Tribolium castaneum: one gene and its partners. The main gene of each other region encodes a partner of the protein of the gene in region 3 in a complex. Links are inferred from orthologs where the notes say so. Each region holds a gene or a part of one and is shown on either strand. Other genes may lie near its edges. The genes, in order: RNA-binding motif protein, X-linked 2; eukaryotic initiation factor 4A-III; ncm; spliceosome-associated protein CWC27 homolog.

What was found.
Region 1: ncm (region 3) and RNA-binding motif protein, X-linked 2 share a complex: the UniProt entries of both Homo sapiens proteins name them as parts of the minor spliceosome. The link is inferred for Tribolium castaneum from reciprocal best matches to the Homo sapiens genes CWC22 and RBMX2.
Region 2: the proteins of ncm (region 3) and eukaryotic initiation factor 4A-III are in contact, whole or in part, in a crystal structure (PDB 4C9B), measured with the Homo sapiens proteins. The link is inferred for Tribolium castaneum from reciprocal best matches to the Homo sapiens genes CWC22 and EIF4A3. Residues at the interface, in NP_001362958.1 of Homo sapiens: Thr129, Gly130, Gly131, Ala132, Tyr133, Pro135, Pro136, Ala137, Lys138, Arg140, Lys164, Asn167, Gly168, Ile170, Asn171, Lys172, Val173, Asn174, Ser176, Asn177, Ile180, Ile181, Glu184, Ala207, Ser208, Ile210, Phe211, Tyr215, Lys330, Arg331; in NP_055555.1 of Homo sapiens: Met43, Gly44, Ile72, Ile73, Lys74, Gly75, Gln98, Cys99, Met183, Gln213, Val256, Ala257, Glu259, Trp263, Asp266, Thr267, Asp270, Leu271, Tyr272, Asp273, Thr274, Leu275, Thr276, Ile277, Thr278, Gln279, Ala300, Asn301, Phe302, Thr303.
Region 4: the proteins of ncm (region 3) and spliceosome-associated protein CWC27 homolog are in contact, whole or in part, in a crystal structure (PDB 6YVH), measured with the Homo sapiens proteins. The link is inferred for Tribolium castaneum from reciprocal best matches to the Homo sapiens genes CWC22 and CWC27. Residues at the interface, in NP_001362958.1 of Homo sapiens: Leu239, Arg242, Lys243, Tyr245, Arg246, Asn248, Asp249, Lys250, His270, Glu271, Val272, Leu275, Glu276, Thr279, Leu280, Leu281, Glu283, Arg284, Thr286, Asp288, Ser289, Val292, Val307, Ser308, Pro309, Arg310, Gly311, Thr367, Met369, Leu372; in NP_005860.2 of Homo sapiens: Arg381, Glu382, Asp383, Gln384, Thr385, Leu386, Leu388, Leu389, Phe392, Lys393, Lys395, Leu396, Thr397, Ile400, Glu412, Asp415, Asp416, Glu417, Gly418, Trp419, Met420, Ser421, His422, Val423, Leu424, Gln425, Phe426.

The regions. Positions count from the first base shown.
Region 1 is NC_087396.1:22,564,454-22,568,307, reverse strand, and holds RNA-binding motif protein, X-linked 2, read left to right. Parts: upstream 1-1,623; 5' UTR 1,624-1,762; coding exon 1,763-1,776; intron 1,777-1,825; coding exon 1,826-2,612; 3' UTR 2,613-2,616; downstream 2,617-3,854. Other genes in the region: TBC1 domain family member 31, read left to right, coding at 1-11, 199-828, 876-1,498; mitochondrial tRNA-specific 2-thiouridylase 1, read right to left, coding at 2,617-3,210, 3,411-3,637, 3,687-3,854. UniProt on the Homo sapiens protein: Involved in pre-mRNA splicing as component of the activated spliceosome. As a component of the minor spliceosome, involved in the splicing of U12-type introns in pre-mRNAs.
Region 2 is NC_087396.1:14,194,294-14,198,692, forward strand, and holds eukaryotic initiation factor 4A-III, read left to right. Parts: upstream 1-1,596; 5' UTR 1,597-1,884; coding exon 1,885-2,032; intron 2,033-2,084; coding exon 2,085-2,420; intron 2,421-2,474; coding exon 2,475-3,205; 3' UTR 3,206-3,302; downstream 3,303-4,399. Other genes in the region: Sf3b2 (splicing factor 3B subunit 2), read right to left, coding at 3,365-3,430, 3,478-3,775, 3,823-4,067, 4,122-4,399. UniProt on the Homo sapiens protein: ATP-dependent RNA helicase. Involved in pre-mRNA splicing as component of the spliceosome. Core component of the splicing-dependent multiprotein exon junction complex (EJC) deposited at splice junctions on mRNAs.
Region 3 is NC_087398.1:673,701-678,907, reverse strand, and holds ncm (pre-mRNA-splicing factor CWC22 homolog), read left to right. Parts: upstream 1-2,171; 5' UTR 2,172-2,300; coding exon 2,301-3,465; intron 3,466-3,643; coding exon 3,644-4,313; intron 4,314-4,371; coding exon 4,372-4,807; 3' UTR 4,808-4,853; downstream 4,854-5,207. UniProt on the Homo sapiens protein: Required for pre-mRNA splicing as component of the spliceosome. As a component of the minor spliceosome, involved in the splicing of U12-type introns in pre-mRNAs. Promotes exon-junction complex (EJC) assembly.
Region 4 is NC_087396.1:19,898,205-19,902,711, forward strand, and holds spliceosome-associated protein CWC27 homolog, read right to left. Parts: upstream 2,882-4,507; 5' UTR 2,778-2,881; coding exon 2,736-2,777; intron 2,686-2,735; coding exon 2,144-2,685; intron 2,098-2,143; coding exon 1,988-2,097; intron 1,935-1,987; coding exon 1,721-1,934; intron 1,673-1,720; coding exon 1,231-1,672; 3' UTR 1,192-1,230; downstream 1-1,191. Other genes in the region: transmembrane protein 209, read right to left, coding at 1-143, 191-343, 393-568, 618-755, 804-817; uncharacterized protein LOC658443, read left to right, coding at 3,839-3,893. UniProt on the Homo sapiens protein: As part of the spliceosome, plays a role in pre-mRNA splicing. Probable inactive PPIase with no peptidyl-prolyl cis-trans isomerase activity. As a component of the minor spliceosome, involved in the splicing of U12-type introns in pre-mRNAs.

The DNA of each region.
Region 1 (3,854 bases), on a different chromosome or scaffold from region 3:
CACGATAATTTGTAAGTGTTTTTTTATTCAATGAGCGGCAAAATTATGGAATAGTCTTATTAAAACTGAAAATATTTAAAATCTCATTGTTTTCAAACTGTTTTTGCTACAACAAAATATTTCTAATTAAGATTTTTCCATATTTTTGTTGATCCGGCTCGAAGGACCACACTATGGGTACTGAGTGAATAATCGCAGTGAACTGGTGTCAATTCTGGTTCGAGTACTTCCCTCTCCCTCCAATCAACATACTTGCGATGATTGAAAACGTCCTAATGGTACACGACCCCGAACTTTTGGACTTCCTAACCAGAAAAAAAGTCTCTTCCGAATTGTACGCATGGCCGATTTTGCGAACTGCATTTTCCGAGGTTTTGACAGCGCCATCCTGGAAAATTTTCTGGGACCATGTTTTAACAAACGAACCTTCGTTTCTACTGTGTGGAGTCGTGGCTTACAATATTTTACAACGAACCTCCATTTTGAGTCTTAAAGACGATAAACAATTTCGGTGTTTTTACAAAACGCATCATCCCATAGATGTTAAAAAATTGCTAACGAAAAGTTACCACATTTTGGCCAAGACGGGCGAGGCCGTGCACCCACGGCAATATTTGAACATGTTCAAGAAAATTAATTTGGGGGAATACCCCAATTTTTGTGATTACCCCAAAACCATGATCGAGATGTCGGATAAAGAGGCCGAGATGAAGAGAGAGATGGCGGGGTTGAAAACAGACGAGGTTGATTTGTTCAGACGCCGATTGATTAGTTTGGAGCGGTTGCAAAATTTCGAAGTGGAGGAAGAAGAGAATAAGCGAATTTTGGGTAAGTTTTTGTACATTTTTTGGGGTTTTAATTAAATAAATTGTCAGAAATGGAACGCGCGATTCGTAATCAATTGTTGGAGGAGCAAACCCGTGTCCAGGAGTACTACGAAAGGGTGGCCAACCTGCGCGAAAAATTCCACCAAGAAGACAAAATTTTGGCCTCCTTAAGACACCAAATAGCGAAGGAACAGCAATTGAAAAGCCGCCGAAAATACCTATCGTCGATTATGGACGATGTCAGGTTCCGAAAAGGCGAGAAAGGTTACGCCTTGACCAAGACCGAGGACGAACTCCTCTTCCACTATGCCGAACTTTTGAAAAACAAGTACAAAATCGAAAAGTTACTAAACACTGATGAAGTTGTCACAAGTACAAAACTATCAGTTGATCAACAACAGGAACAATTATCGAACGAAATCAATTTTGTGCGGAGTAGTGAAGAGCCCCGCAAACATTTGAAGATGTTAAATCTGACAACGGGGCTTGAAGCCATGGATGCTCTAATCGAAAAAGTCGAAAGTGAGCTGGAAAAACAAAAGAGCGGGAGTGACAGTGATGCCGATCGACGCGTTGTCGCCCTGCAAGCGGAAAGCAAAGAGTTGGCGTTGAAAATTGCCAATTTAATCGAGCTACTTGCCAATTTAAGGAGTGAGGAAGTGGGCGGATAGCACAATCAATTTTATTATAAGTTGTATCGTTTCTATTTATACGTTTTATGATCTCATATGCACCTGTGATATGTTTTTAAACGGCAATAAATTTACAAACCGATGTGAAGTCGCCTTAATAGTTCCAGCCGCGGTGTGAATGCACCTTAACGCAATTAACACAAACGTCAAACGTACGTCAAATACCTAACCTATTTTTTGAACATTTGTTTTATTTGTATTTGTTCATGTTTTTCGGGGTCAGAGGCCCCACAATCACGCACCATGAATCCGTTAACGTAAGTATTGTCGATTTTTTGCCCCAATTTTGCGAAGTTGTCTTTCCAGGAACATGAAAAATGTGAAGAAACTGAGCGAACAGGAGCTCTACACCGGTAATAAAACCTCCTGGCATGACCAATACAGGGACAGTGCGTGGGTTTTCATCGGCGGTTTGCCCTTCGACCTGACCGAGGGCGACATAATTTGCATTTTCTCGCAGTATGGCGAAGTGGTGAACATAAACCTGATCAGGGATAAGGACTCGGGCAAGTCAAAGGGCTTCTGTTTCCTGTGCTACGAGGACCAAAGATCGACCGACTTGGCCGTTGATAATTTCAACGGAATCAAAATCTTGAACAGGACGATACGAGTCGACCACGTCAGTAACTACAAGGTGCCCAAACAGGGCAAGAAAACGGACGCTGAGACGAAGAAACTGTACGATGAGGGCTGTGCCCCCAAGGCCGTCCCTGTGCAAGTTCCTGTCAAAGCGCCAGTGAAGATTAAAACAGACCCTGACGATTTTCGCGAAACACTGGCCGACCAGATTAATTCTGAGATCAAGTTGCCTGAGCGCTTGCCCATTTACACGATAAAAAAGGAGAAAGTGGACGAGGAGGCGCCGCCGGAGCCTGTTGTCACGAAAGAGAAGAAGGAAAAGAAACACAAGAAGGAGAAAAAGAAGAAGAAGAAAAAGAAGTCGGACGAAAACAGCAGCGAATCCGATTCAGATAGGAAGAAGAAAAAGAAGAAGAAGGGCGAGTCAGGGTCGGATTACTCCGCTGAAGACAGCGTGTCAGAGGACGAGGATAGGAGGAAGCGGTCGCGGAGTCCGAATAAGAAAAAGCGCTGATTTACTAACATCTATTTACAGCTCTGTGCTTCATATCTTCATTATCAGTAAGCTCGTCTTCACCTTGCGTCACATTGACATATTTTTTCAAAATGTGGGAGACACTCCCTAGACCATTATTCTCCAAATAATATAGCGAGAAGTGTGAAACTCCCGTGTTAATTATTCGAGCCCCTCCGAGACACTCGCCATCTTTCGACAAGACAGCGAACTGTCCCGGAGTGATGGCCCTCTTGTACCTATTCACTTTAATAATCAGTCCTTTACTTGTTTGGCACACCTGGCATTTGACCCAATATTTGGTGTGTTGGAACTTGAAATCGCACTCCAAAACCCCGTTTTGTAAATCAGGGGGCTGTGAGTGGATCCAGTGGGGCTCACTGGTCAAAATTATGTTCGTGTAAAGTAACGGGTGTTTTGTCCCTTTGACTACGTAAATTATGTTCTTGTCTACGTCTTTCCGGGCCACGAAATAAGGGCTTTCGTAGCTGTGGAGGCGCGCCCTTTGCCCCAAAGTCCACTGGTGCACCCCATTGTGTTGACCCACGACTTTCGCAGTGTCAACGTCCACGAAATCGCCCGGTTTATCATCAATATACTGAAAAAAATGTTTAGTCAAGTGACCAGTGCAAAGCTTCTTTGACCAATGACAGGCCTCCCTTCACCTAGAGGGAGCCACGTTAGTGCTTGACTACAATATTTTTTTTAATTAAAAAAAATTTATAAAACTTCGAAAACAACAAAAATTAAAGTAAGAAATAATTGGCCAATCACGGAAGCTGTGAACTAATCACTTACTTCTCTAATAAAGTCTTGAAATTTGCGATTGCCGATAAAACAGATCCCCATACTCTCCTTCTTCCTTGCGATTTTTTCAAGTCCGTTTTCCCTTGCAATTTTTTTCACTTCCGGCTTCATTAAATCGCCCAATGGGAACATTGTACGTTGCAAAGCTTCTTGATTGACTTGGCACAAGAAGAACGTTTGGTCTTTGAACCAATCAACTGCGTTTAGTAGTCTTACCCCTGTTTTTTTGTTGTAATAAATTGTTTTTTTTTTTGACTGGATACAGACCCTTTTCCGGGTTATAATGTTCAAGATAAGACCCGAAACTAGTCCTTGCGTAATGTCCGGTCGCGATAGCGTCAGCCCCTAGCTCATTTCTCGCGTATTTGTAAAAATAATTAAATTTAATGTTACGATTGCATAGAACGTCAGGGTTTGGCGTGTTGCCGGTCTCAT
Region 2 (4,399 bases), on a different chromosome or scaffold from region 3:
AGATAGAGGGGTGGTTCTGCCCTTTTAAAGCCCCTACCGCCCCGTAGTATTTTTCCTGCGCTATCAAATGGAATAGGTCTCGTTCCTGTATCTCTATCAGAAACCGCAATAGCATTGCACATTTTTAAATCGGTAATCGGAGTACATCACGTAATAGTGCCTCAAAAGTTACGTGTGAATGCAGAATTTCAAGTTGCTACGATAACAGGAAGTGTTTCAAAATTAACTCGTAACATATGATTCCAAATAAATCACATTATTTAAAAGCTTTTAACAAAAAATCTAGTTTTTTATTAGCAGTTTTTATTGAACTTTCTTCCGGATTTATAAATATTTTGAACTTAAATTTGGGAGACTTCCTGTTGTCGTAACAACTTGAAATTTTGCATGTCCACGTAACTTTTGGAGCCCTATTACGTCATGTACTTCGATTCTCGATTAAAAAATGTGCAATGCTATTTCGGTTCCTGATGGAGATACGGGAACAGGACCTAGCCTATTCGATAGCCCAGGAAAAATACTACGGGGCGGTAGGGTTTTCAAAAGGGCAAAACCACCCCTCTATCTCCTACAGGAACGAAGATATTTCGCATTTTGTGAAATACAAGATTTCCTTAAATTTCTATAAAAATTTTGAAATGTGAAAGAAAATTTTAGGTTGTTTACAAAATTTTTATAAAAATTGAAGAAAATCTTGTAATTCACAAAATCTTAAATATCTCCGTTCCTGTAGGAGATAGAGGGGTGGTTCTGCCCTTTTGAAAACCCTACCGCCCCGTAGTATTTTTCCTGGGCTATCGAATGGAATAGGTCCCGTTCCCGTATCTCCATCAGGAACCGAGATAGCATTGCACATCTTTAAATCAACAACCGAAGTACATTACGTAATAGTGCTCCAAAAGTTATGTGTGCATGCAAAATTTCAAGTTGCTACGATAACAGGAAGTGTCTTAAATTTAAGTTCAAAATATTTATAACTCCGAAAGACAAACAAAGCAAGTTGAATAAAAATTCTAATAAAAAACTACAGCTTGTTTGTTCACAGACTTTATTTAATGCGATTTATTTTGAATCATATTTTACGAGTTAATTTTGAGGCACTTCCTGTTGTCGTAGCAACTTCAAATTTTGCATGCACACGTAACTTTTGGAGCACTATTACGTCATGTACTTCGATTCCCGATTAAAAAATGTGCAATGCTATTTCGGTTCCTGATGGAGATACGGGAACGGGACCTAGCCTATTCGATAGCCCAGGAAAAATACTACGGGGCGGTTGGGTTTTCAAAAGGGCAAAACCACCCCTCTATCTTGTACGAGAACGAAGATATTTCGCATTTTGTAAATTACAAATTCTATAAAATTTTTACTAGATCTTTATTACATTTTTTAGATTACACAAAAAAATTAAAACCAAAAAACGTAAGCGGCGACATCTGAGTATGGTAGGTCAAAGTACATGTTTACAGTAATCTAGAAAAAAATTGTGTGCCATCTATGGGTTGCTACAGTAACCTATAAATTGTATTTTTTTAACAGTATGCACAGGCAACCAATTATACAAGACAATCTTGTATATTGCCTACTATTAAGTGGACGCCATATTTTTGTCAAATGTCAAAAAACGCTAAAAGACGTAGCGACTCGCGTGCAAACAACATTAAACGGGCGAAAAAGTGTTTAAAAGTTAGTAAAGGTGAAAAATAAGTGTTTTATTTCTCTCAATACTACAAACAAACCAGTTGGGGACGTGCAAGTGGCCCCAAAAATGCAAACACCTTTGTGAAAGACAGGTGCCCCAAGTGTTGTGCTTCAGTGAACTGGACATTCAATTAAATCATCTAAACTTTACTTTAACACACGTTCTAATTTCTGACGGAGGCAATGGCTGTCGCAAAACCTTCAAACCGCAATGCGGCTTTCGAAGACTTGTCGAACGTTGAGTTCGAAACCAGCGAAGATGTGGAAGTCATCGAGCAATTTAAGAATATGCACCTGAAGGAGGAGCTCCTTCGCGGTGTCTTTGCATATGGTAATAGGAAAATGTGGGTCAGTGCGGCTCGGATTGAGGTCATTGCTTTCAGGTTTTGAGAAACCATCAGCTATCCAACAGAGGGCTATCAAGCCGATAATAAAGGGCCGAGATGTTATCGCTCAAGCCCAGTCAGGTACCGGCAAAACGGCCACATTCTCGATCGCTATTTTGCAGTCGCTTGACTTGCAAACGCGGGAAACCCAAGTACTTTGCTTGTCGCCAACGAGGGAGTTGGCCGTGCAAATCCAGAAAGTTATCCTGGCTTTGGGGGACTTTATGAACGTGCAGTGTCACGCCTGCATTGGTGGGACCAATCTGGGAGAGGATATCAGGAAGCTGGATTATGGGCAACATGTTGTTAGTGGAACACCTGGAAGAGTTTACGGTACTTATAATTATCTTATAAATAATTTCCCCTACCAAAAAACTTAATTTTCAGACATGATCAGACGGCGCGCCCTTAGGACCAGGTCCGTCAAAATGCTGGTTTTGGACGAAGCCGACGAAATGTTAAACAAAGGCTTCAAGGAGCAAATCTACGACGTTTACAGGTTCCTGCCGCCCTCCACTCAAGTCGTGTTGATTTCTGCGACTTTGCCCCACGAGATTTTGGAGATCACGTCGAAGTTCATGACGGACCCGATCCGTATTTTGGTAAAACGTGATGAATTAACTCTTGAAGGCATCAAGCAATTTTTCGTCGCGGTTGAGCGTGAGGAGTGGAAATTTGACACACTTTGTGACTTGTACGATACTTTAACCATCACGCAAGCTGTTATCTTTTGCAACACTAAACGCAAAGTCGATTGGTTGACTGAAAAAATGCGCGAAAACAATTTCACCGTGAGTTCCATGCACGGTGATATGCCCCAGAAGGAGAGAGATAATATTATGAAGGAGTTCAGGTCGGGACAGAGTCGTGTACTTATCACGACCGATGTGTGGGCGAGAGGTATCGACGTCCAGCAAGTCAGTTTGGTCATTAATTACGATTTGCCGAACAACCGTGAGTTGTACATTCACCGTATTGGGCGATCTGGCAGGTTTGGTAGAAAGGGTGTTGCGATTAATTTCGTCAAGTCGGACGATATCAGGATTTTGCGGGATATTGAGCAGTATTATTCCACACAGATTGACGAAATGCCGATGAATGTCGCTGATTTAATTTAAACGAATAACATTTTTTATGTCCTTATATTATGTAAGAAGTTTGTGTAATAATTAATTAATTAATATGGGAAGTAATAAACGACTATGATTTTTCCTACTCCTAATATTTCTCTCGCCAAATTAAAATCAGAATGACAAATATTCATACCAGAAAATGCACTAAAACTTGAATTCTTTGTATTTTTTCGTTTGTTTTGTGTCCTGTTGTTGGCGCTTGCGTTTATTCTAAAACGAAACAATTAGGTAAATCAACAAATTACACAATATGTTACCTTTTGTTTGGCGACGTGCTCAGCTAACATATCACTGAGATCTTCCTTCTGCAGCTGTGACTGGTTTTCCCTCATTTGTTGTTCGTAACGAACCGCCATTGCATCGCTATCCATATCCAACTCAGACGGATCAAGAGCCAACTCAACCATTCCTTCCTTGTCCCCTGGTTTGCGACTAGTTGCAGGGGCTGCGCCCACAGCAGACATGTCGTAAACGTGGCTGCTCCCCATCATGGAACCACCTATTCTCTCATTGCGTTTTTCGGGAATGACATGATACAAAATCGGGTTTTCACCCCTACAAAACAATTTAAAATACCCCCCTAGAGACAAAATAATTCTTACTGTTCCATTTCGCTCTCGATTTTCTTTTTCCTCAATTCTATAGCTTCGGGTGTTTCCATGCCAGTTGGCACGCTTGTGAGACCACTAGGTGTCACCAAGCCCTCAGCTGGAGTAACAAGACCGGATTCGTCAGCGGCGTTTTGTTGGTTGTCTTGGTCTTCCTCCTCTTCCTCATCCTCCTCCTCTGATTCGGACTCGAGCTCGCCCCAGAGGGTGCGATCCACGGAAGGGTCCTCACCAATGTCCTAAACATTGATATTTGAACAAAATTCAATAAAACAATATTATAAAATACTTACATCTATGTTGGTAACATTTGTTCCAAACACATCACCGTACAATGGTTTTCCATTTTCGTCCACCGGTGGTTTTCCCCACCCACCGGCATGGTACCCAAAGGCACAACCATCAGGGATGGGGGCATTTAATCCCGGAATTTTCAAGTTGGGGTAGCTGGGTGGGGGACCATAACGTTGCATTGCAATCAACCATGGTGGGGGTACTTTATTAGCGTTAGGGCCCACAGGCATTCCTAAGGCCGTTCTTAATTCTTCTGATAAATCTCCAGGCTTTTTTT
Region 3 (5,207 bases):
CCCAAAAAATTTATATACACGACGGGTGCCAACAATAGCTGGAAATTAAAAAACAATAACCACACAAAGAGACTGAGACAATGGACAAACACGTGATGGGTTTATTTACACGAAGGAATTAGTTTTGAATGACCGCCCTCGTAGTCGTCAAAAATTTTGGCAGTGTTTGTTATTCACACTGCTAAAGTAAACACTAACATTTGACCCTGACGGAGAAAACAAACTCAATGTTTTTTAATTAGAATAAAAATGACAATCAGAATCACATTAAAATTCCTCGACCATTGTTGAAGATCACACCTGATTCAGTGGCGCTAATTCATAAACTCAGGTAAAATAGTTTCGGAAGCAGCCACCGAAAGGTCTTTGATGCCTCTGGAAGGCTTCGCCCATAAAGACGATATTTTTAGCTTTTAGTGCGACACATGCTAATGCTTGGAGGTGCATAATATTTTTATGGTAATGTTTCTTTTAAATGTTAAACAAATGACATCACGTTTACATAATTCCACGACCCAAAAAAATACAATACAATTTTTCGACGAAAACTAATTAGTAATTATTGCAGAAACATGTTAAAATGAGTAACGATAAGTGGTTTTTTAATGACTTATTTGGGTCGATAAGTTGACCACTAAAAGGTTTACTCATTATTGCGATTAGAGCAACGAGACGACTTTTGGAGGCCTTATTTTCGGTCTTGTTGCGCATTTTACGATAACCCTTTTGTGACCTTTTTATCGGAACTGCACCCAAAACTATAATTAAAATTCTTTCCCCTAACTACTCAAGCGAGTGGTCAATTAATTTCTAAAAAAAGAGCGATTTGTGCGAAATAATTATTTACCATGACTGCAAGTTCCACTTGTAATTATTCCAAGCAAGATGATTAACAAAAGTCGCAACCTTGGGCCCAGCACCTTTAGCACCTACACCAACCCGGCACGCTTTTTTACTTAGAAAAAGTACCAAAAATTGGGCAAAATTTTGGAAAAATGGGAGAGGAGAACGCGCACGGTATCGGCACCGAAAGGTTGAGAACCAACTGAATTGCTATAGCATGGGTACTCTCCATAAAGCAGCCTCGGGCTCTTTTGTACGGATTGGTTTCGTTGGTCGATCTTTGAAACAGCTGGAGCTGGGTTTAAGTTCACTTGGCAGTGACCTTGATGCCTCGAAAACGCTGCATTCGCACTGTTTATTGTTCAAACTGTTTAATAAAATATGGTACACGCAAACATTTCACATATTCATGGGAGGCCTCCGCGAAATTCCGCAAAATTAAAATGCGTGACCTTATCGTTCTCCGCGCCGATTTTTTAAAATCCACAAACTGAATAAAATACCTTGTAACACTTTCAGTATGCCGTAAAAACGCTCTTTTCACCGCGGAAGTATTGTTGAGAAATCTTTGATCGAACTTGTTATTGTGCCATAAAAATTTAATTGTACGCTAGAGCTGTTATTAGCCACTATTATCGGTTTTTGCTTGTTTTTGCACCAACAGCCATTTCTCTTCAAGAAAAAGCGAAAGTCTGTGTCAAGTTATTCATTTTATGGGAACACATTAAAAGTCGCTGTCGAAGTAAATATTCTGAAAATATCGCGACCTGAGAACCATAAGGTTCTGACTATTTCACAATTTTACAATATCATATCTTGTCTTCTCAATTGCCTGAAATGTTATCATAAAATATAACACGTATTATATGTTAATCTACAAACAAACAATACACAATACAAGAAAAAAATAGCAAACTTTTCAGACATGCTCTACTTAAAATTTTATTGTTTTGAACTTTTAAATCAATATTTAAGGTTCCAAAGTAACAAATTTTGCCAAAATTACTTCCATGTAGGTACTTTTTGTTTTCTATCAATAGCTAAACGTTACATCATCTAGTTTTCTTTTATTTAACATTTAAAGATCATTAAAATCCCAAAATTCCCAGGTCGTGATATATTTTTTAGGCAAACGTGACCCCCAAAATCACATTCAAATTTTTTTGAAATTTTAGATTTGTCACTAATTTAGTAAGTCTGTAAATTTTCAAATATGTCTGGAATTAATAAAACCACCAATTCCTGGCCCTCTAGTTATGTTATAATTGCGTAAACACGTACATATAATTAATTATAATTTATTCTAAATGCACAAAAAAATCTGGCGACTTTAAAATTCAAAAATAGTAGGGAATTTGTCATTATCACCAGTGCCACATAACCTCAACCTCTTGCGTTGTTGTGTGTTGTCAATAATCGCCCCAATTTCTTACTGTGTTTTTGTGAGTGCTTAAAAAATGACCACCGACACCGAAACCTCCCCACAGCCCAAACCCAAGCGTAAAAGCCGCTCCAAATCCCCTGAATCCCGTAAAAAACGTCGTGACGACTCGCCCCATAAAGACTCCCGGAAGCGTTCCCGCCGTTCGCGTTCACGAGACCGTCGCAAAAGTCGCAAATACCACGACTTGGACCGCCCCCTTGAAGAATACCCTCGGTATTACGGCGAGGATCAAGAACACAAGAAAAACAGCGATAGATATTGGACCAAATACCCCCGCAAGGATGACCATCAGGTGGGTAGTAGGTATTACGGGGGCGAGCCCGACGATAAAGACAAAGAGTCTGAGAAGGAGACGGATAAGTCGGTGATAGCCCCCCGTGAGCGCAAAACCGTGGATTTACTGACACGGACAGGTGGGGCTTACATCCCTCCAGCGAAGCTGCGGATGATGCAAGCGGAGATTACTGATAAGAGCTCGGCGGCGTATCAAAGAATTGCGTGGGAGGCGTTAAAAAAATCCATTCATGGGTTTATTAACAAGGTGAATACGTCCAACATTGGGATTATTTCGCGGGAATTGCTCCATGAGAATGTGGTAAGGGGGCGCGGACTGCTCTGCAAGTCCATAATACAAGCGCAAGCTGCGTCCCCAACTTTCACAAACGTGTACGCAGCCCTGGTCGCTGTCATCAATTCGAAATTCCCTAATATTGGAGAATTGTTACTGAAACGTTTGGTTTTGCAATTCAAGCGCGGTTTCAAGCAGAATAATAAAATTATCTGCATTTCGGCCACGACTTTTGTGGCTCATTTGGTTAATCAGAGGGTTGCGCATGAAATTCTCGCCTTGGAGATTTTGACTCTTTTGGTGGAGACGCCAACTGATGATTCGGTTGAAGTTGCGATTTCGTTTCTGAAGGAATGTGGACAGAAATTGACTGAGGTTTCGAGTAAAGGCATTAATGCCATCTTTGAAATGTTGAGGAATATTTTACATGAGGGGAAGTTGGAACCGAGGATTCAGTACATGATTGAAGTTATGTTCCAAATCAGGAAGGACGGGTTTAAGGATCATGCCGCTGTTATTGAAGAGTTGGATTTGGTGGATGAGGAGCACCAGTTTACACATTTGATTACGCTGGATGATGTTAAGCAATCAAATGCTGAGGATATTTTAAGTAAGGAAACTTTTTAATTAGGTGGAACTGTACTTAATTTTTTATACAAAAAAATCGGGGTATCCAGGTTTTGAGATTTTTTATTATTATTTTTTTATTTCTCAGAAAAAATTATTTTGAAATTTTAATTAATTAATTCCTTAATTTGCCTCGTTCACTCTGTGATTATCCTGTCTAGATGTGTTTAAATTCGACGACAACTACGAGGAAAACGAGGGGAAGTACAAGACTTTGAGCAAGGAAATCCTGGACATGGACAGCGAGTCGGGCTCCGGCTCGGAGGAAGAGTCCGGTGACGAGGAAGACGACGAAGACGAGGACGAAGAGGAAGAAGAAGGCGCCCAAAAGAACGAATCCAACATAATCGACAATACGGAGACCAACCTCGTGGCCCTACGCAGAACAATCTACTTAACCATCCAATCAAGTTTAGATTTTGAGGAAAGTGCCCACAAACTAATGAAAATGGAACTGAAACCGGGCCAAGAAATCGAATTATGCCACATGTTCCTCGACTGTTGTGCCGAACAACGGACTTACGAGAAGTTTTACGGATTATTGGCACAGAGATTTTGTCAAGTGAATCAGATTTATGTCGAGCCATTCCAACAAATCTTCAAAGACACGTACGCCACAACACACAGACTTGACACAAATAAATTGCGAAATGTTAGCAAGTTTTTCGCACATTTGTTGTTCACCGATGCGATTGGATGGGAGGTTTTAGAAATTATGAAACTGAACGAAGAGGATACCAATAGTTCCAATCGGATTTTCATCAAGATTTTGTTCCAGGAATTGGCCGAATATATGGGCTTGGAGAAGTTAAATGCCAGGCTTAAAGATGCGTAAGTGACTGTGTTTGATAATTAACGAGGTTTTGTTAATTTTTTGGATTTTTTTCAGAACGCTTCAGCCACATTTTGAGGGGCTGTTTCCGCGCGATGATCCCAAAAATACAAGATTTGCGATTAATTTTTTCACGTCGATTGGCTTAGGGGGGCTTACGGCCGAGTTGAGGGAACATTTGAAAACAGCCCCTAAAGTCAATCCCTTGACGATTACTGAAAAATCAAGTGATTCTAGCAGCAGTAGCACTAGCAGTTCAAGCTCATCCAGTTCCGATAGTAGTGATTCGGATTCGTCAAGTTCCGAAGATGAGAAACCACGTAAGAAGAAGGAAGAAAAGAAGAGGAAAAAACCGACAAAAGAAGCATCAGACGATGATAAAAAACGAAAAACAGATGCGAGGAAACACAGACATAATGAGAGACGGTCACGCGATCGAGACGATCGGAGGCGGCGTAGGAGCCCCGAGAGGAAGCATAAGAGTAGGAGATAAGTTACTTTGTACATAAATTGTATTGAATAAATATTTTTATTTGTGACTTGTGTTTGATTCCTTAAAGTTACCAGATTTGAATTTGGCGCTTAGTCAAACCCACACTTTTGGCATTTTTTTTGACGAAATGTGGGTGTTAATTAAATTGCGTGTTTGTGCTTTTGCTAAAATGAGACAAATTTGGGTGAAAATTTTAATTTTGGGTTAGTTTTAACTGAAAATTTGGGTGAACAAGGCTTGGTGGTTTTTGTTGGCGAGGTTGGCAAGCAGTTTCGTCGGGTCCGAGCTGTCATTTTGTGTGTCACTAATTTTTGTTCATTGTGTAGTAAATTGGTGCTATCGTGTTAAAAACAATAAATCCGATCAAAGGTATTTTTATGAGGAAGAAAAACAGTAATCG
Region 4 (4,507 bases), on a different chromosome or scaffold from region 3:
TAAGTCTTTTTCGTCTTGGATAAATTCGATCCCCGATGTGTCCCTATATTGAATGGGGCTGTTGGAAGAAAATGAGGAAGGCGAAGGGCCAGAAACTACTTTATGATAAGTCCAAGAAGGTGATGATAATGAGTAATTTAAACCTGAAATATTTTTTGTATCGTTTTGAGTTGCTGATTTAACAACTCACTGTCATTGGGAGTGGACCTCCAGCTGTTCGCAGTCATGTTCATCGGAGTGCTGGACAGTGGCGAACTTGGAGGACTAGGACTATTTGAAAACGAATGTGAAGGTGTTTGAGCTGTTGGCGCATGTAACTTATCAACAACTTTAAAATTTGGGTCTAAAAAACATAATTAACACTCCCCTTTTTCTAAGTTCCGCACCCAAACCTGAATCACTGATTCCTAACAGTTTCTTCTGCTCCAAAGTGATTGGTATTTGCTCATGATTGAAATTTGAGATCATAATTTTTGCAGCATAGTACAAGAGATTTATGCTTACTATCAGAACGAACGCATATTTGATATAGTCGTAAATATCAGTGTACAAAGGACATGAATTTGCTCTAAAAACACAGTTATGGGAAAAAGAAGGTTAAGTGAGCAGTTTGTTACATATCATAAAGAAGGACTGCAAGTATAAGGAGGTTCACGGAGCCCCAGATGAAGCTTTTACGCACAGTTCGCCGTGTTTTATTCACGGAAAGGCTCCGTTCTAGTGCAAAAGAGTTGTTTAAAACGTTACGATTTGGTCTAAAAATAATCAGCTGTTTTTCTTAATACTGATGGTTTTTTACTTACGTGCACACACTCATGCTTCTCACTATTGTCTATTCACGTACACAAAAGTTTCATTAATTTTTCATACTAGTTTAACATCAAACACCGGTCCCACAAAATTAAAAACGTAACCTCAATTCCGAAAACGCGCGCATCTGCTCATATAATCCTACGCGCATAGAGTCTTATAATATGTAACAACTAAAATAATAATTTAATTAATTAATAATAATTTATTAATTTAACACAAACTATAGTAGAGTCATTAATAATACTAATGTGATTGTTATTAAAGCGAGTGCTAGAATGGTAAAATGTAGGTAAAAAACTCGAACTTTACGTTTATTTGAAGTTTTTGCTCTTTGGAGCCTTTGCTACACCAGGATAAGGCGGGAAAAAAAAGGTCGCATAAAATTACAAATCTTTATTTTTAATATAGCAAACAACACTATTTCTTGAACTTCTCCACGGTTTCTCCACGTCGTCGTTTATTCAAAGCGTTTCTAGGATCGTAAATTTCAAACCAATCGTCATCTTTTCTATTGGCGTCTTTTGCCAAGACTGGGTTTTTGTCCTGGAAGCACAGTCTGTGCTTCAACCACGCTTGTTCTTCCTCATTGTCTTCTTCATTCTCTTCCCCGTCTTTCATTGACTGTATCTTCTTTTTGAACTTTTCCAACAAATTCAAAGTGAACTGTTCTCTCCCAGCTCCCTTTTTAGGTAATGCGTCTTTTTTATTTTTGTATTTATCGAACTCGTCTTTGTACTCTTGTATTGTCTTGTCTTCTTGGACCTTCTTCTCGGTTGCAATTATGTCCTCTTCCTTCTTTTTCAACTTATTTTTATGGTATTCCTTTTTAACGTTCTGGATTTCTTTTTGGATCTCCTCACTGTAAATAAATTAATCGAAAATAGAAAAATAATTAATAGTCACTCACAATTGTTTTTTCTTTTTCTCGCGCCTCTCTTCCTCTAGGAATGACTCATATGTATCTATCGGTTCCGCCGTTGTTGTGGAAGTTGGTACAGGTTTTTTGTGTTCTCTTTTTAGTTTCTTTCTGATGCTCTCTAACTGTTCTTCTGGATTAACTTCTTCCACGTCATCATTCTCCTCATCTACGTCCTCCGTTTTAGAGCTCAATTTGGGATCATCTTCAATTAAATTTAATTAAAACATTTCCACACCAATTATTTGAACTGTGTACCTAACACATCGTGTGTGGATTTGCCTTTGCCCACAAACTTTTCATTGACCCTCGTTGACTCTTCCTCATCTTCCTCAGCCTCTTCCCCAAACGACAATAACTTAAAATTCCTACAACAATGATTTTACAACAAATTACACAAAATATTTGACTGACTTGACTCCTGGCTTTTTCTCTTTCTTTTTCTTCTCCTTCACCTCAACCTGTCTAAGCCTGGGTTGGATGTCGGCAAATGGATTGTTCAAAACTTCCGTTTTAATGATTTTGTGAGGGTAGATCGGCCTTTCGTCCCTTATTAACCCATCCTCAAGCTTGAGCATATTAAAAATCGTGTCTCCGGTAATTTTCCCAAAAATCGTGTGTTTGTCTTGCAATTCGGGAGTCGCCCCCAGGGTGAAGAAAAACTGAGACCCGTTGTCGTCCTTGCCCCCGTTGGCCATCGCAAGCAACCCTCTTCGCGTAAAGCGGAGTCTTTGGTGAAACTCATCTTTGAAGGGCTCTCCATAGATTGACTCTCCGCCTGTACCGTCACCATTTGGGTCACCCCCTTGGGCTATAAAGCCCTTAACAACCCTGTGGAAGATAGTGTTGTCGTAATAGCCCTCAAGGCACAATTGTATGAAGTTGCGGCAGGTTTTTGGCGTTTCTTTTGCCCACAATTCGACGTCTATGTCACCAACTGTTGTTTTCAACAACACCTGAGACGAAAAATTTGATTGTAGTGTTCGTAAGACGAACGATTAAATACCTTTCCCGAAGTTGGGGGCTCCAAAATATAAACACTACTCATTTTTAAAACTTTAGAATGTTTATTATATTTTGACAAGTGTCAAAGAATGAGGTTAAGCTACGAAGTTTGGTTGTGTTTAAAGTGCCAAGCTTCGCCACCTTAGTCACAATTTAAAATTTGGTTTTTCAAATTTTGTTCTTAAAAAAAATACAAATTCAAAGTCATGGTTTTGTGTATGAATTGAGTTCAGTTTTTTTCAAATACTTCACTGTTTTAATTGTTTCATAACAATTTTTTTTTCAATAGGATAAATAAGGAAATAAACGAAGGAGCGCCAGATGCTATTATTATCTTTTTATTTTAAGATTTGAATAAATACGTATAATAGTAAGAATTGCGCGACAATAAAGAATTAAAAAAACAATGAGGTCAAATTTAAATTTTCTGGAATTGGACTTGAACTTTCCCCTTTATCGTTAGTTTTCCACATGGTGACAGTGAAAAATAATCGGAAAGTGAAAACTAAAACAGATTAGGCAGTAACTAATTGTTGTTTATTTTGTGTTATACTTATGATATCAATATTGTCTGTCTATCGCAGACTTATCTAAATCAAACGTTCTCCAGATTAGAACTAAACGCTTGTTGAATTAAATATATTGTCAAACTGTGTTAGCTTAAAAGTGAACTCGAAATTCAAGTACTTGTGTCCAACTAAAATTAGAATTAGTTCTCGACTAAAAGCGGGGAGAATCACCATTGAGCCACAGCGCGCGTTTCACGCAAGATAAAGAAATCCAATGATAAAAGTTTACAGAAAATTCTCACAGATAAGTGTTGGTATTATAAATATGAGTATACACCTGTCTGCGAGGACTTCCTAAACGTGTGAATATTATGTTATTGTTGTTTGGTCGCGGAGAGATATGTTGGAGTCTGGAACTTTAGTTGAAGGTAAATATAGCTGATTTATTTGCCCAAATGTTTAGAGAATCGGCTCAAATTGTTATCAATTTAATTAACATAATATAAACAATTTCGAAAATTTGTTATTGTTATAATTGGGTCAGAACATGCAATGAACTTGGACTGTAAAGAGCGTTTTTGTGAGTGTGTTTGCAATGGAAGTATGTGGCACAAGTGCGATACAAATGAAAATTTTTACGGTTTTACAAGGTAATGCGCGAATTTTTTCGGCGGAATTATTCTCCGGACTTTGGCTTGACAGGTTGGCATTATTTCAAGAGAATTATTTTATTGTGCGTTTTAAAATTAAACTCTTTTCTCATAGCATTGTCTTCGGACGAGTTATCAGTCTTATCGCCCAATTAACATGCATATAATTAAACTCATTCTCATCAAACACTATTTTGTTCAATATAAAGTATTTCTTGGAGAGAATTAAAATCGTTTTGTAGCATGTTTGAAATGAAATTTATTTTTTTATTGTACATATTTTACGGTGTTTAATTGTTTGTATTTACGGCTTTTTGTTTTATTTACGACAACGTAATATTTATTTTTTAATAATTCTGGTGGCATGTGGCAAGATGTTAATAGAATTTCAGGGTCAGTTTGAATTTATTAACCAAATAACCAAAATAAAAAACTAAAATACTACTGTGGTAGGTACTATTATTTTTACAATTTCAAAAACTAGATCCGGCTTCAAATACCCACGTATTTGGTGTCAAAAATAACTAATAATGGAAAAATAATCTCGTCCTCAATCCCACCAATTTTTAAATCGATTAGAATTATTATTAAGACTTGATTTACGCAGGATCTTT